Drosophila melanogaster: one gene and its partners. The protein of the gene in region 4 interacts with the protein of the main gene of each other region in a pairwise test. Each region holds a gene or a part of one and is shown on either strand. Other genes may lie near its edges. The genes, in order: CG13067, ssp, CG14313 and CG6576.

Region 1 (3,283 bases), 7.5 Mb from region 4:
ACTAAACTAAACCATCATGTTCAAGCTGGTGAGTTGGTGGTTTCTCCATATGGATACAGATATCTGGAGTATTATATTAACTGGTTATTTCCGTACAGTCTGCCCTCGTTGTCCTGTGCGCTCTGGTGGCCTGCTCCTCGGCTGAGCCCAAGCCCGCTATCCTGGCCGCCGCTCCAGTGGTTGCAGCTGCTCCTGCCGGCGTGGTCACCGCTACCAGTTCGCAGTACGTGGCCCGCAACTTCAACGGTGTGGCTGCTGCTCCAGTTGTTGCCGCTGCCTACACCGCTCCAGTTGCCGCCGCTGCCTATACCGCTCCAGTTGCCGCCGCTGCTTATACCGCTCCAGTTGCCGCTGCCTACTCTGCTTATCCGTATGCCGCCTACCCTTACAGCGCTGCATACACCACTGTTTTGTAAAACGGATTAACAAGTATTCAAAACGGATTTGAAATGGAATAAAAATAGACCCGACTGGCAATAAAACAAATCAAACTAAAAGCTTAAAAATATTATTCTGGAAATGGGAACACCAAGTTCTGTTTTTCAATAGCAAAAAAGCTATAGTTATATATTATTAATACTTTTTAATGGATTTTCTACTATTAATTATTATTTCTCAATCTTTTGGCGGCAACAAAAGTTCTTGATAGTATTTAAAAAGAAAGTCACCTAAACATATACGTTTTTTATAATTAATATTTTTTTACTGTCACCTTTTCTAAACCTTTTGTTCTGGCAGCGTCTGTTCTGCCCACTTAAAATGCGGAAATGTAGCCCGAAAAAATACCAATTCAGTTGCGTCATCATCCATTGACAAATCACAGATGGCAAAAGTGATAGATTTCTCGAAATGTATAGGTAACCGGCATCTCTGGTAGGAGAATCACGTGTTGGCCATTTAAAAATTGCCGACTGAAAGTTGCGTCAACCCGAATAAATAATTATGCATGTGCGTGTCTAAAAATATATTTCTGGCTTAAAGCGGGCAATAACGAGTAAAATAGCAACCATAACAGGGAAAGGATTCAACAGGAGGGACAACAGTGTCCTTTGACCACCTTATGGCCAGTGGGAGGACGCTCCCCTAGGCAGCCACTATGTGGACGGGAATGGAGTTGCTGTAGCGTCCGAATGGCAGCCACGCAGCTGGGTAGAACAAAGGATAGCTCGGCGGCGGTGCAGAGCCCACAAGTGGTGGTGGCCCCAGTGGTGGTGGGGGAACAGCAGCTCCAGCTGCCTGGCGGGGCGGTGGTGGAGCAGCCCGATGGGCAGGCGGCACATCGATCTCCTCGGCAGCATCCTGGATCTGACCCGCGGCCGCCAGGTGGATCAGAAGGAGGAGCACCACCTGAAATGGCCACCGATGGCGAGGCCTCATCATCTTTGAGCAAGTGCATCGACTTCTCGGCGGATAACCGCTTGAGACTTACTAATTTCCTGTACATAGCTAATCCGAGCTGATAAGATCTGATAGCTCAACGTTCTGAAAACGAAATAAACATGACTGGAGCGACAGAACCCAGCTTTATAAATTTCTGAACCCAACCCGGCAGTTTTTGTGGGTCATTTCCAGACTTGCCGATGGATGGATCAATATCCAGCTACGTTTTAGTATGCAAAACACGGACTCACATTCGATTTGTTTTTCGCTTTTCGTCACGCTTTTAAAAATACCAAACGAAACCAAAAGTGCAAAGCCATAATGCTCAAGATTCTCCTTGGCTGGCTTCAAAATGGACTTGGAACCGATCTGGGAATGGATGTGCATACCAATGGCCACGCATCACCTTCGCTTCAATGTGGGGAATTGGAATGGAATTTTCTCGACCGATTCTGCTATATATACCCGAGTACTCGGGCACTAGGAGATATCAGTCTAGTACTTGAGAACCAACAGTTCACAACCAACCCAAACAGCCAACATGTTCAAATACGTAAGGATCGCAGGATAGCTGGACTTGCCACCAAACAACGGATTACTCATAAGCACTTTTCCTATCCTTTCAGTTCGCTCTGTGCCTGTTCGCCATCGTGGCCTGCGTCTCTGCCAAGCCGGCGGTGCTCGCTTCTCCTCTGGCCTACAGCGCCTACTCCGCTCCCTATGTGGCAGCTGCTCCTTACTCGGCTGCCTACACCGCGGCATACACCGCTCCAGTGGCCGCCGCCTACTCCGCCTACACGTACCCCTATGCGTCCGCCTACTCCGCCTACCCCTATGCCGCCTACTACCGTTAAGACTGGATGAATGGATCGTGATCTTAACCTGACTGCTGAACTGGACCTGAATATAAACATATACACATCTATTGCAACAAGGATACACACCTTCCTGCTAACCACCTGCAACATCCAATCTTCTTACATCCCTGGTGTTAGTTCGACAGACTCTACATTTCCCCACCTCTGCCGACTGCTGAAAGTTAAGTCATGGGAACAGGACATACCACTTCAAGAAAGGGAATATTTTTGTTGAAATAAATACTGCATTTTGCGTAAAACGTATACCACTTGTTCATAATTTATTGCATCACTTATTCATCTCTAATGTGAAGGGAGTATGTATAATCACATACTTTTAGGCAGTACTCTTTTGCAATGGGTACTAAGTACTAAATTTGGTATACATTAAAATCCAATGGAAATATTATTTATAAAGTAGGTGATATCATATTTTCAGTAAATATTTCTCACACTAGTTTCATAAATTGCTAGCCCCTACATTTTTTAATTTTGGTGGGCTGGAAGGAATCAATGACTTTTTTAAGCTTTGTATCAATAAATTGCTTTGATACATTGGAAATTATTTTTTGGACTTAAAACCTATTATTTGTTAAAAAAAAAGGAAGTGTAAAGGAGGTTGTGTTCTTCGTGGTGGAATGTCCATGTTTGCATTGGATTAATAGGGTCAACGAGACCTCCGGTTTATTGAACTCGCGATTCCATTTATGCAAAGCTTTCGATTCCCTGTTTCTGGTGTCCTCAACCTTAAGCCAAGGGCTCAACTCGATGACGTCCTTCGAAACTGGATAAACCGCTTCTATTTTTACTTGCATCTCTGATTAGAATGCAAAGTGGCGTGTTCGAGTGGCTGACAATTGAAACGTACAGAGTGAGCCGAACTCCGGAGATGGCCAAGACGGTTGGAATGACACGCACGTTCACAGCCCACAAAACGCACTGAGTGCTAAATTATGATAATTCAATCGGCAAACGACAGCTGCTGACGCCAGTTGCGGAAATGCTCAAGATGAGCGGGAAAAAACATTCATTTTCAATAATAAATT
Region 2 (4,205 bases), 3.4 Mb from region 4:
GGCACTACAAAGCGAGATTCGTTAAAACATGTGATAGGATATCAAATTTGACCTAATTTCTGTATGAAAGTCCACTTCAGTTACATAGTCCAACATGGACCACTAGCGAACATACTAAAATTCTAATTAATCACTCAGTAACCATGCTTCTAAACCAACTAACTCTTCTAGAATATAACACCAGAACGTCGTAAGCCAGGACCGCGCATGAAGAGCTCACTCCAAGCCCTGTTGAGCGATGAAGGATCACCGACGGGACCACAGCGAACCGCCAAGATAAACGTTGCACAGAAAATGGTCGTTGAGCCAGCGATCCGAGCCAATGGCATCTCGCCATTGCCCAAGAATGTTGGCAAGGAGGAAAAGTTTGAGGACTACTATACGAAAACGGAGCGACACGTTTGGAAAAAGGATGCGGAGAAGATGTTGCTGCAACTGTGGGCACAGCATTTGAAGGATTTTCGTGGAGAGTCCAAGAATGTGATCATCTACCGGCAAATGGCTAGGGAGATGAGTCAGTTTGGGCCCAGCCACACGGAGCTTAAAACCAAAATGGACAATTTGTCGCGAAAGTATAGGTGCGCTCTTATATTTTGCATACCAAAAGTTTTTATTTTTATAGTATATTAACTTTTATATTGGTATTTACAGAATAGAAGCTGAGAGAGTTCGGGAAACTGGAGTGCCATCCAAGTGGGAGCACTTTCATAAGCTTCAAGCACTTCTGATTGGCACGAAATCAGTTGATGTCTTCGAAGATATTACCGCCGAAAATCCAGGTAAAGTCGTAGTGCAATAAATGCTAGTTATGTCATTATGTCTTAAAAATACGCTAATTTTACAGCTCAAGCTTTGTTCAGCGATGAGGATTATGAGCCTGAGGAATTGTCTTCATTAAAAGACGAGCCTATGGCCGGGGACGATGGGAACGTATTCGAAAGTGATATGGTTGCTAGCAAAGCCATGAAAAGAACGCGAACTCCCTCTCCCAGTATTCCGGAAATCCCGGAAGAAGACGAGGAGGAGGAGGAGGAGGAGGAGGATGATGACCACATGAAGGATCTCTCCCCATCGCCAATTTCAAAATGTCAGACAAAACGGAAAGCATCGAACAACCATTCGGACAGACTCCTTGAAATAGAGGAGGAAAAACTGGCGATCGAGCGAGAAAAGCTGCAGGTTATGAAGGATGCACTGCTGGAGCTAAACGCATTTCACAAAGATATTGTTTATTTGCTTAAGCATAACAATCAGTAGTGTAAATATTAAGTGTTATACGTAGAAGTAGCGTGGTGTTACTTTTTCAGCAAAATATACAACTAAAACAGTGAATATTTAATGTAATATTGCTTCAACTTCAAATTAATCTAAATATATATATATATATTGTAAAAAGCTAGATTTTGCATTGTTATGATCTTACAAATTAGTTTCTTAAGTAAAAATAAATGCAATGAAATTATATTTTACTTTTTTTAGCAAAACTTTAATTACTTACTTTACTTTAATATTATAAATTTGTTTTAAATCGTATTTGTTACATTTAGTTTCTCAATTCGTAAAATGTTTTTTTATTTGTATTTTAGATATAATTTAAATCGATATCATAGAACTATCGATAGATATATGAAGCCAATACCGACCATTTCTAGAAAAATCGATATCGAGCTGCTGCCCATCTCTAGGCACATTTTGTTTATACTTTTCGAGCGTAAGGACGACATGATTGAGGCCCGCACGATGCAGGACGTATCAAAATTCGAATCCAACCAGGTGATCTCGGCGAAGGTGCTCCGCGGCGAGTACCGGCTACTACGACGCAAGCAGCGCGGCTCCGTGTGGAAGGTGTATCGGGAAATCGTGCGCACCGATGGTGCCATAATCAATGGACTCTACTTCTGCACGGGCTGCAAGCGCGTCATGCGATCCTTCAACACGTCCAATCTGCGCACCCACAAGTGCCATGTGGACTACCTGCGTACCGAGGAACTGTGCGAGGAGGGGATCGCGGAAATCCATCCCCCTAAACTAGACGTACGTACAACGACGCCATTAGAAGTCAATAGTAGTCCAAATTACCATGTCTCACTTGCAGGATTCGTTGGAGCGCCGCCTGAGCTGGAACTCCTTTCAGCCGTCCGAGTGGTCATTCCACGCGGTCGAACTGCTGCTCGAGCTTTGGGCAAGGCACTGCGTCGATTTGCGAGACTCACGCAAGCGGGTCCAGGTTATCTGGAAAATGACGGGCGAGATGAAGTCACTGGGTTTCACGTTCACGGAGATAAAGAACAAAATTGATGACATGGGCCAACAGTATCGGTAATAAGTGAATATACTTATTTAAGCATATTCCTTATCTAATATTACAATTTATTTCAGGCGAGAATCGCACATGGAAAAGACAACTGGACACAAATCCCAGTGGGAATACTTCGAGACCATGAAGATGATATTTAGTTCCGATCGTAACATAATTGACAATATGCCTCTGGATAAGTCTGGAAGTGCACCCAATACGACCAGCGAACACAATTCATTTGGCAGTCAACTTGACGAACCATTGATAGATAGGAACTACTTAAGGTCCCAAAAAGTACACCCTGGAGAAGGGGATAGCTTCGATATGAACGAATATGCGGATGAAGCACAAGAAGACGTGGATGAACTGCGTATTCTGAAGGATAACATAATCAGGGAAATCGAAGAGTCGTCCACAGTTCATTCCCAGGAAAACTATGAAGACGAGCTCGATCAACAGAATTCCAAGACCGAGGACATGAAAATTGCTAAGCGTCAAAGAGCTGCCAGAATTATGGAAATAGAGGAGGAAAAGCTGGTCATAGAGAGGAAAAAATGCAAACTGATGAAATTTTTCGTGCGAGAGATGTCGTCGTTTCATAAGGACTTCATGGATCTTCTATCTAATCCCAAAGGCGGCGCACATGCATAAATACCTGTTCGCGATTTGAGTGATTGCACAATAAAGTTCATTTCCACCGTTATTAACGTAAACTTAAAAGGCATCACATTCAACGAATTTTTAAAAAAATCATGTAACAGAAAGTTTAAATATCTCATTTCGGCAGTCACTCAATTTTTTATTTCAAATACGAATAAGTATAAAATGATTTGTGATTCATTGCGTTTTATTACAATTCAGCAGATATGTTTAAGATTTAATAAAATGAAGTCGTAATATCTTCGCCGTTTATATAATTTATTTATATATAAACCATGTATATCTGAAATTTGAAACGAAAAGTAGTGAAATAACTATTAATTTGATTGGTTTTAGAATATTTGTTGTAGATGACATTATATGTATTTTATTTTTTTAATTGTGTGGTTAATATTTTTTCTTTTCCTATTAAATTAAATTCGATACATGGTATTACATAGAATGTCGATATCGATTGTAATCGAACATCGCAACCAACTCACCGGTGATGCCACCTGGTTCGGAGCTCTGTGTTTTTAATTTTTTTTACTATGACCATAAGGATTGCGAGGCGAAATATGTTTTTCATACACGCCCCCGAGGAGGAGAAGTGCATGGAGGCGCAGCTGGACATCCTTATGAAGATCAACTCCGGTGAATATCGGCTGGTGAAGAAGAACAAGCGCAGTTCCGTTTGGAACGTCTACCGGGAAATCGCTCGTCCGGACGGCACCAAGTTGAAATGGCGATACTTCTGCATGGGCTGCAAGCGTGTGATGCAGAGCACCGGCGGCACCACCTCCAATCTGCGCATCCACAAGTGCCACGTACGGTATATCAAGCAGAACGGCCATCTCACCGACGGCAGTCACTCCTACGACCATGATCCCGCGCCACCAGCTAGCCAACCGTCGCCGCGCGTCCAGAAACCGAAGACCAGGCGGCCGACATCCTATTCTACGCAGTGTGAGCAGTTCTATGAGGTCACCATGGATCCGGAGACCCAGTACAGCGATCTGGATGATGAGATTGAGGCTTCTTTGGAGGAGGAGCAGACTGTAAGTACTGCACTTTTATACCCATACAAGTCAAGCTGAAACTACATAATTTAGATTATCCTGCAGCTGAAATCAAAACGTGAATTGGAATCCTCCCACTCCAGACCCCTGCTGAAGCTCTTCTCCGAGGAGAACTTGTCGACTGAACCAGAGGAGCCGGAAGACGAGATTGAGATTGTGGAGGCGGAAGATCAGGTGCCCATCGAGCT
Region 3 (3,815 bases), on a different chromosome or scaffold from region 4:
CTTGAGATAATACTGAAATGTAATGAAAACAAAACCAAGCAACAAAAACTGTAATCGTAATGAACAAACAAATGCGGTCGAATATTCGTAAGTCGGACTAGATCTATGTAACGAATATAGTTCGCCTTGCGGACATTCGACTGTTTGCTTAAAGTAATGTTAAACATGTATGCAACAAGTTTAGTGAGCCTTGTGTTTAGTTTAGTTGTTGCAAGCACTCACCTCACTGCAAACTCCCAAGATCCCAATAATACCGATTCAATTCACTTGCTCATGTAGAAATCAGACCATACCACATAATCGCAGTTCAATTGTTTTTGTTTTTTTTTTTTATCTTAGCAAGGCAGCAAAACGAAAGCAAGCATATGAATGGTATAATTAAAATGATATACATAATACCTAGTTGGAGTATATAGTTAGCATTATTGGACTTGTATATGGAGATAGTCTGTAACCAACCACACTCATTCACGTGCACTCATCTTGAACTGCGCTCCATTTTACAAAATGTGGTCAATGTGTCTAGATCGTTTGGCTTGGCCCAAATTTTATTCGTTTTCGATTCAATTCTCAACTCTAATTGTACAAATTGTGAACGCGTCCGTTTGTTTCCTTACGCTTACGCTATTCAGTCTGCCGTCTGTTTGTTTGGTTTGTTTCGTTCAAAAAACGTATTTGTTGTATTGTTTTGTGTCTTTTTGTCTCAACCATTTGTCGTGTATATGCGTTCGTATGTATTTATATATATTTTAACCAAACAACTAAAATGAAAATCGTTATTTAAGTTCCTTCCAAACGGCGAGCAATAATACCATTTGTATGGCATGAGCATGAGATACAATGCGATATGTACTGTACGATTTTCCTCACTTTGGAGAGCGGCAGCAGTTTGCACTCGTTTCGATTTCCTCACGACGGCATTGTGTGTGCATTAGGGCAGCGAATGAAAATTATATGAAAAGCTAGCTATATGTAAACCTTATATATATATAGACAGAAGCAGAAGCCGATACAGATGTAGCCTATTGTATGCACTAATTTATTGCAAAATAGCTACGCGTATAACTATAAGATTTAGCTGTTTAATATGCATATAAAAGTATATAATATATATTTCGTAAAGCAAAAAAGCAGCGCAGATGCAGCAAACAATTGTAGAAATCATAATCTAATGAAAAGTTTACTTCAAATATCACACTTAACTTGAATGCTGTACAAACAAAAGTCTTAAAGTGCATAAAACATATATATATATATAAATAAATCTAATATATACACATTGTATATGTCTGTGCTAGCATCCTTTTAGCGATACAGCAGCACACTTAGCATTCATAGAGAAACCAACCAACCAACCAACCCGATCCCGAACCCCTATAGTAGCATTAGAAACGAAGCTAATCTATAAGCCCAGCAACATAAACAAATCAAAAGGAATATATACACAAACGGAGAAACTAATTTCTTTGGAGCAAAACACAGACACACACACCACAAACTACACACACCCACACACACACACACACAAATCAATTGATAAATTAATTAAACAAGAAAAATGGAAAAGTCTATTTTAAATATTGTATATGTTTAATGTGTCGGAATTTATAATACGATCGAGAGCGGAGTGGAGAAATTTATAGTATGTGCTGCATGAATTATATCTAAATTATAGTATGGAATGCAAGCGAAAAAACTTAAATAGTGACTAAGTTAAATTTATTTACTAACGCTTTGGGTTTGAGCGTTTCAATTGCTGGATCTATAAAAACCACAAACAAAAAAAATAAATTATATAAGTGTAATGGAGCGGAATTAAGTAAACAAAAGGTATAAGTCGCCCCAACAACAAATAATAAAAACAAAAAAATTGCAAAAAGTAACACGGAAAAATCGAAAAAAAATAATGAAGGGAATACAAAACAAAAAACCGATTGAATATGGAATATGTTTAAATAAGTATTTTAGTGTTAATTATACAATTTACAAGTACACAACACAAACAAAACAACAACAATATAATATAAAAATGAAATAAAGTTTTAAAACAATATTTGTAAAAAGTAAAGAAATAGAAGCGTTTTTTTTAAGGGTTTCAAAATGGATTCTAAAACTAGGATTTTAAAGTTAGAGTATCTATAAGATACCATTTAATTAGAAGATATGTAGGTGATCTTAGTGATCATAACTATTCTCCGAGGGATAGTGACAGCTTAACATTGATTTAGCCACAACATCCACTTGGTCATCCATAATCGCCTGCTATTTGCAATCACAACACCGCCAGTTGGAGCCAATCTGCTGATTGCATACATCATCAAAGAGATTTCAGTTCCCGCTGGCAGTAATTGAACAATTTTGCAGAAACGCGTGTGGCCGGCTGGCTGGCTTGACTATCTGCCTATCTGGCTCTGGCTGAGACAATTGGTCCGGCACACGCACATGCCTAATGAATGAACACCAGCGAGCGGTCAGGGAACGGGTGTAGGGCTACCACCAGGTTGTCGGGGCAACCGGCCGTTCGATTGTGGCCCATACAAATGGTGGGAGCTGGATACACACAGCGACTGGACACTGGCAGCGTGTTGACGTTGGTTTGGCTTGGCGCTGCACAAAATCAATAGGTTCAGCAGAAGTGTGTGGAACCATGCAAATACAGCGAAGTTCATCCGGCGGCTGCTAGCGAGATCAGTAAATCGAGTACGGCCACCAGACCCATAAATGCGGCAAAGTGGCGTCCTGTTTTTACACTTGCATGGGTCTGATGCGGACAGTTGGCGGCGCCAGCGATGCACAGCTGCCGGAGGAGGCGGTGTCTACGCTCAATCATTGCCCGACCTACCGACAGATTCCAGGTGCCGGAACGGGCGCAGGATCAGCGCCAGCCAAGCGAGTACCCGTCCTGTTTTCCACCAACCGTGGACTCTATCTGCGCCTGGCCCAACCACTGGCAGATCAGATGGAGGTGATGACACTGCAGCCAAGCGGACAGAACTACAACATCAGCTTCTGCGATCTGGAGCGCTGGGTGAGTTCAATTTCGTAGGGAAGTAATCCGTGTACGGAGGTCACACAACTCTCTATCTCTCTCTGTCTGCAGAGCACCAATCGGGCGAATGTGGTCAGCCTGGAGGACACCTTTAGCATCATGCAGCAGCGCAATATGTCGCCGGAGTCTATGAACTACCAGCCACGCCTGTGGAAGAACAACGTCAGCTACAGCCTGATGCACTGAACTGAAAGCACCTCAATAGATTATATCTAAACATTGCAATAGCAGAAGTCTCGTATGTAAATTACAAATTTTTTTACTTTAATTAATTCTAATTTGATTTACAATCTAGTGGGTATGCATGTGACGGGTTTTCAGGCCGTGTTACTTGTCAGCGAGGCCATCAGAAACTCCATTTTGTTGAGAAAGCTCTTGCCTTCGATTTTGTCGAACCTCACCTAGAAACAAATCAAAATTAATGGCTCTGTTTTTTTTCGACTGCTTTCCAATAGTGGACTCACCTCCTTGAATGTGCCTCCCAGATTCTCCCATAGCTTTTCCGGCACCAGTGGACTGGGAAAGAAATCCTGTCGTGGACTTCTCGCTATATAAACTTTAACATCTATCTGCGGATCGCAGCGAATCTGAACGGCAATCATGCGATCGCTATTGGGAGATGCCAGAAGGCAGGAACTGGCATTTCCCAGCGGCTCCACCTTGCCGATACCCAAGTGGTTGCTGTTCGACAGCACGGTCCAGGACATGCAGCGCGCTAGACTGATCAGGCAGGAGATCTGGTGAGAGTTGATCTGGCAGAGGATCA
Region 4 (4,050 bases):
TATCAACGCATAAATAAAGCGCGAGCCTCGCGTCCGATTCTGTCGCATTCGCCGGCTGCATTCCCAAATAGATCGGGGCGCTATAGTCTATATCTGCTCGTATGCCCTATAGGCATCGACAGTATATATCCCAAACCTGCCCGGTGCGTGCCGGTGGATTATGTAAAGTGACACACGGCCGATCCCGATACCGATCTCGGAGTATCGCCCAGCGCAAATAAAAGCAAAGGAAATAATAGTTTACTTAGCAGAAAAGAAATAAATACAATAAAATAAAATTGAATAAAATAGGGGAATGCAGAGAGAGTGTCGTAGAAATTTGTCGCACGCGCGCGATTTCAGTAAGTGCATCTAATTTATTTTGCATCTATTGCAATTGAGAGTCGGCATCCGGCAGATACGTTTTCGTAATTGTCGTCAGCGGTTCGAGTTCCTCCGTTTCGATCTCGCGCGAGTGTTTGCCAGATTGGATTACCAAACCCAGGCCATACCAAAATAAATTATACACCAATTTTGAAAGGGCGATAAACATACATTGTGACCGAATTTTGATCCGATCTGCGATCGAGGATCGCTTGCCAAGAGCAACGTAATGTCGTCCTACCGCAGTTATGTAAGTACTAGTTAATGCAGCGCCAACTATCCGTATCTGTATCTGCATAATACCTACTCGTACTATATAGTGTGTATCTCGATCTTTGTATCTTCGCTCTGTGCCTTTTTGCAATTCTTCGCATCCACGGATTTTGTTTATTTCTAATTTGTTGCCTTACCCCACACACAAGAGTATTTCGCAGATACATACGTATACGTTTTATATGGCAGATAAAATGTATCTGAATGTTCGCTCTCGATGTGGTGTGGGCTCCAGATCCATTGATAAACAATTTAGATACAAATTTGCTCATTGTCTGGTTTTTTGGTTGGGATTTGTGTCTAGTTGATTGTTCTAATTTCCTATCCACACAAATAGCACAAATTATGGCCGAGGTGTGGCTACTGAATGAACGAATTGTTGTGTTTGAATAGCAAACCAATGCATGAATAAATGGCTTTTACTTTGGCAAAGCAGGTTAAGTTCCGAATTTTAAACCTATTTAACTTGATTTATGTTAGTATTTGCGTATATGCACAGTTGTCAAAGGAATTAATTTTGAGTTATTTGACATACTTTATGGCAGATTCATTATTGATACTGACCAATGACTGACAGTTCCCAAGTAAACATTTTGTGTTATTTATTGAACTTATCATCATATTTATTTATATTATTAACCCGTTCGACATCATGTGATACTTGTGAACTTTTATATAAAAAGTGCATTATTTCTATATCTATCCTATAATATAAATACACTTAATTTCGGTTGTCATTCCCAAACTTCCAAATCGCTTTCTACTAATCCCCTTTATGTTCAACTCATTATATCCTTTTGTTCCCAGGCATCCAGTTTATGACTTTAGCCTGACTTTTGACTCATTGAGCATAAATCAATTAAATATTTTTCGGGTCTTAGAATCTAATAAACTGATCAATTTATGGGCGGCAAACAACAAGTTTCCACCCCATCCCACGCACATCTACCACTTCATCTTCTCCCGAGTCATTTCTCCAATTATATATAGAATGTTTCTAAAAATGTTGGGAGTAAAGCAAAATGATTTCTGTTTCGTTCACGTTGACGCAGTCTCTTTTTTCCTCATTGGAGTTGGTACTTTGTGTAGGATTTTTATGGCCAGAAGGAAGTTGTAAATATTTATGACAAGCATAAAGTTGAAAGTTCTCCGGTGAGAGCACGCACCACCTAATTAATTAACAAAGTGTGAATACTCATGCAATTTGTTTGTGAGGGGAGAAAGTAGGGGAACGGTAATGGAGAAACAATAAAGTTGCAAATATAACTAAAGCTTTTAACTTCATATTCAAAAAAAATAAGTATATATTATCATATAACTAAATTTATATTCATAATGTATTAGCGAAAGCGGTAATGATTAAACATTGTTTCGATTATTGATTTCATTAGAAATATCTCTACTCGTCACACACAATGCGATCACAATCAGTTTTCATTTGAATTATTCATCAAAACAGATCAAAATTTGTTGTAGTGTAGCACAAAGGAAGGCGGTGATAGGCGCTTCTCAAATAGGCTTCGAGATAAGGATTTATGAATCAAGCTATCTGAGTCCGAGATTATCCACGCACACTCACCCGTCCACCCAACTGCCACCCAAGCCCCCCACAACACTCGAACACAGACACAAGTCAAGGACATTTTTTGATAAAAAGATAAAAAATGACACGGCGTCGACGTCCACGATGTAAGGTGAATCCCTCGATAGCGCTGAGAAAGAAGAAACAGGAGACTGCACCCAGTGCAGAAAAGGTAGAGCCACAACGTCCACCGCCCTTGCCGGATCCGCCCAGCGAAGAGCCACCGGAAGTCGTCAGCACTTCGAGCGTAGAATCTGAAATCGAATCGGATTACAAACTCTTCCCGGAACTCTACGATCGCCAGCCGTCGATGCCCACGTTTGCTGATCTTTTTGGTCAGCCCTCTTATGAATCAGTGTTGCAGGAGCCCGAGGTGGCATCTACCTCCTCCTCAACGAACACAAATGCCGCGGGAATACGTAGTACAGACGATGGGAAATTCACTAATATTCCGGCCACGATGCTGTCAGATCAATTTGGGATCATTGGGCTGCTGGCCGCCATGAGGACTACGCAAACGGATCCGGGCGCCACGCAGCTGGTCTTTGGTGAGGATCTAACCACCTACGGACTAGATTTGGCTGCCCAGGGAGACATTTATGTGCATTTCAATGGGCCTCTAACCCGCGAACCACCTGACAGAAATTCCATGGACTGCGCCCTTGAGATGGGAATGCGTGCCATGCGTGATTCGATTATCAATGAACCACCGAAGGCTCCGTGTTGGGATCCATTTGAGCCAGAGACCCAAGATCTGGGACTTGTGGGCAGTCTTGAACCGGATGAGTTTACGAAATCCGATCCAGATACGGAAACGGATCCACCGCCAACTACTGATTTGACTGAAGATCCGGAAACGGATCGAGATGATAATCAGTATAGATAACACATTTGGAATCGGCGCCAAGGATAAAAAAGAAAGACTAGTCCCAAATAGAATAGCAATTTGGCAGTTGGTTAGATCTTTGAATACTTGGTAAAATTGTTGATCTTCGTGAATTGGTAGCCCTTCTGTATAAGAACTTGTTTGGCTTTAAATATAGAATTGGCTGAGGAGTAAAAACGGGAATAATTATTTGTTACGAAAAAAAGTGCGATTTAGTTATTTAAAATAAGGTTCGATTTAGTACATATATGTAAATATCGAAAAAAATTAATAAACATTCGGAAAATATCGAAAATGAATAAGCTCGGAATTGATTATAACTCATAAATTGGTTATAATCACTATAATTTTCAGATTAACTAATTTAATTTGTTTGGAAATTTATGTTTGAACGACTTTCTGGGGTTGAATATTTCATTATCCTTTTAAGCGCCGATCTCCACATAGTTGAGTTTCCCGAAACGCATTTTCGACACTTTCGTCAGAGCAAACTACAATAGAAAACGTATTTAAAAATAAATCATTTGTCTGGCAAGCGAATATTCAGTCGCCACTTCGAATCATCTGGGGTCACAGTCTAAATACTTTGTGAGTGGATGGCTTTCCTGGTCGTTCTTAATGGGCTGTGGCTACTGACAGACAGGCGCATTATAGCGCATCCTGCTCCTGATCTGCAGACTCCGAGATTCTGCAATCTCCTAATTGAGACCGCATAATAATGCTGTCAGAAGTGCAGCACTCCGCTGGAATCGGCGGTGAACAAAGTACACATGGCGAAGTCATTCCAGAGAAGATCCATAGGCCCATCCACATCCACACCATCACGATCCTCCACTCTTTTTCTCCTCCGGCTGAGTGTCTCCGTTTGCTTGTTTTGCACATTGTTGGCTATTTGTGTGTTTGGCATTCCATTTCACTGAGCGAAAACAATTAGCCGAGACTGTCT

Evidence for each region.
Region 1: the proteins of CG6576 (region 4) and CG13067 interact in a two-hybrid assay, tested with the Drosophila melanogaster proteins (one large-scale study listed by BioGRID).
Region 2: the proteins of CG6576 (region 4) and ssp interact in a two-hybrid assay, tested with the Drosophila melanogaster proteins (one large-scale study listed by BioGRID).
Region 3: the proteins of CG6576 (region 4) and CG14313 interact in a two-hybrid assay, tested with the Drosophila melanogaster proteins (one large-scale study listed by BioGRID).

Annotation. Positions count from the first base shown.
Region 1 is NT_037436.4:16,269,419-16,272,701, forward strand, and holds CG13067 (uncharacterized protein), read left to right. Parts: upstream 1-1,863; 5' UTR 1,864-1,921; coding exon 1,922-1,933; intron 1,934-2,006; coding exon 2,007-2,234; 3' UTR 2,235-2,500; downstream 2,501-3,283. Other genes in the region: CG13068 (uncharacterized protein), read left to right, coding at 17-28, 99-416; CG34248 (uncharacterized protein), read right to left, coding at 1,084-1,380.
Region 2 is NT_037436.4:12,116,593-12,120,797, forward strand, and holds ssp (sunspot), read left to right. Parts: upstream 1-1,664; 5' UTR 1,665-1,722; coding exon 1,723-2,034; intron 2,035-2,095; coding exon 2,096-2,319; intron 2,320-2,379; coding exon 2,380-2,950; 3' UTR 2,951-3,197; downstream 3,198-4,205. Other genes in the region: vers (versatile), read left to right, coding at 172-578, 652-779, 845-1,257; CG11560 (uncharacterized protein), read left to right, coding at 3,490-3,996, 4,051-4,205.
Region 3 is NT_033777.3:18,190,744-18,194,558, reverse strand, and holds CG14313 (uncharacterized protein), read left to right. Parts: upstream 1-2,591; 5' UTR 2,592-2,755; coding exon 2,756-3,028; intron 3,029-3,100; coding exon 3,101-3,235; 3' UTR 3,236-3,315; downstream 3,316-3,815. Other genes in the region: MED17 (mediator complex subunit 17), read right to left, coding at 3,367-3,450, 3,514-3,815.
Region 4 is NT_037436.4:8,753,883-8,757,932, forward strand, and holds CG6576 (uncharacterized protein), read left to right. Parts: upstream 1-2,106; 5' UTR 2,107-2,300; coding exon 2,301-3,104; 3' UTR 3,105-3,285; downstream 3,286-4,050. Other genes in the region: Fhos (formin homology 2 domain containing), read left to right, coding at 593-613.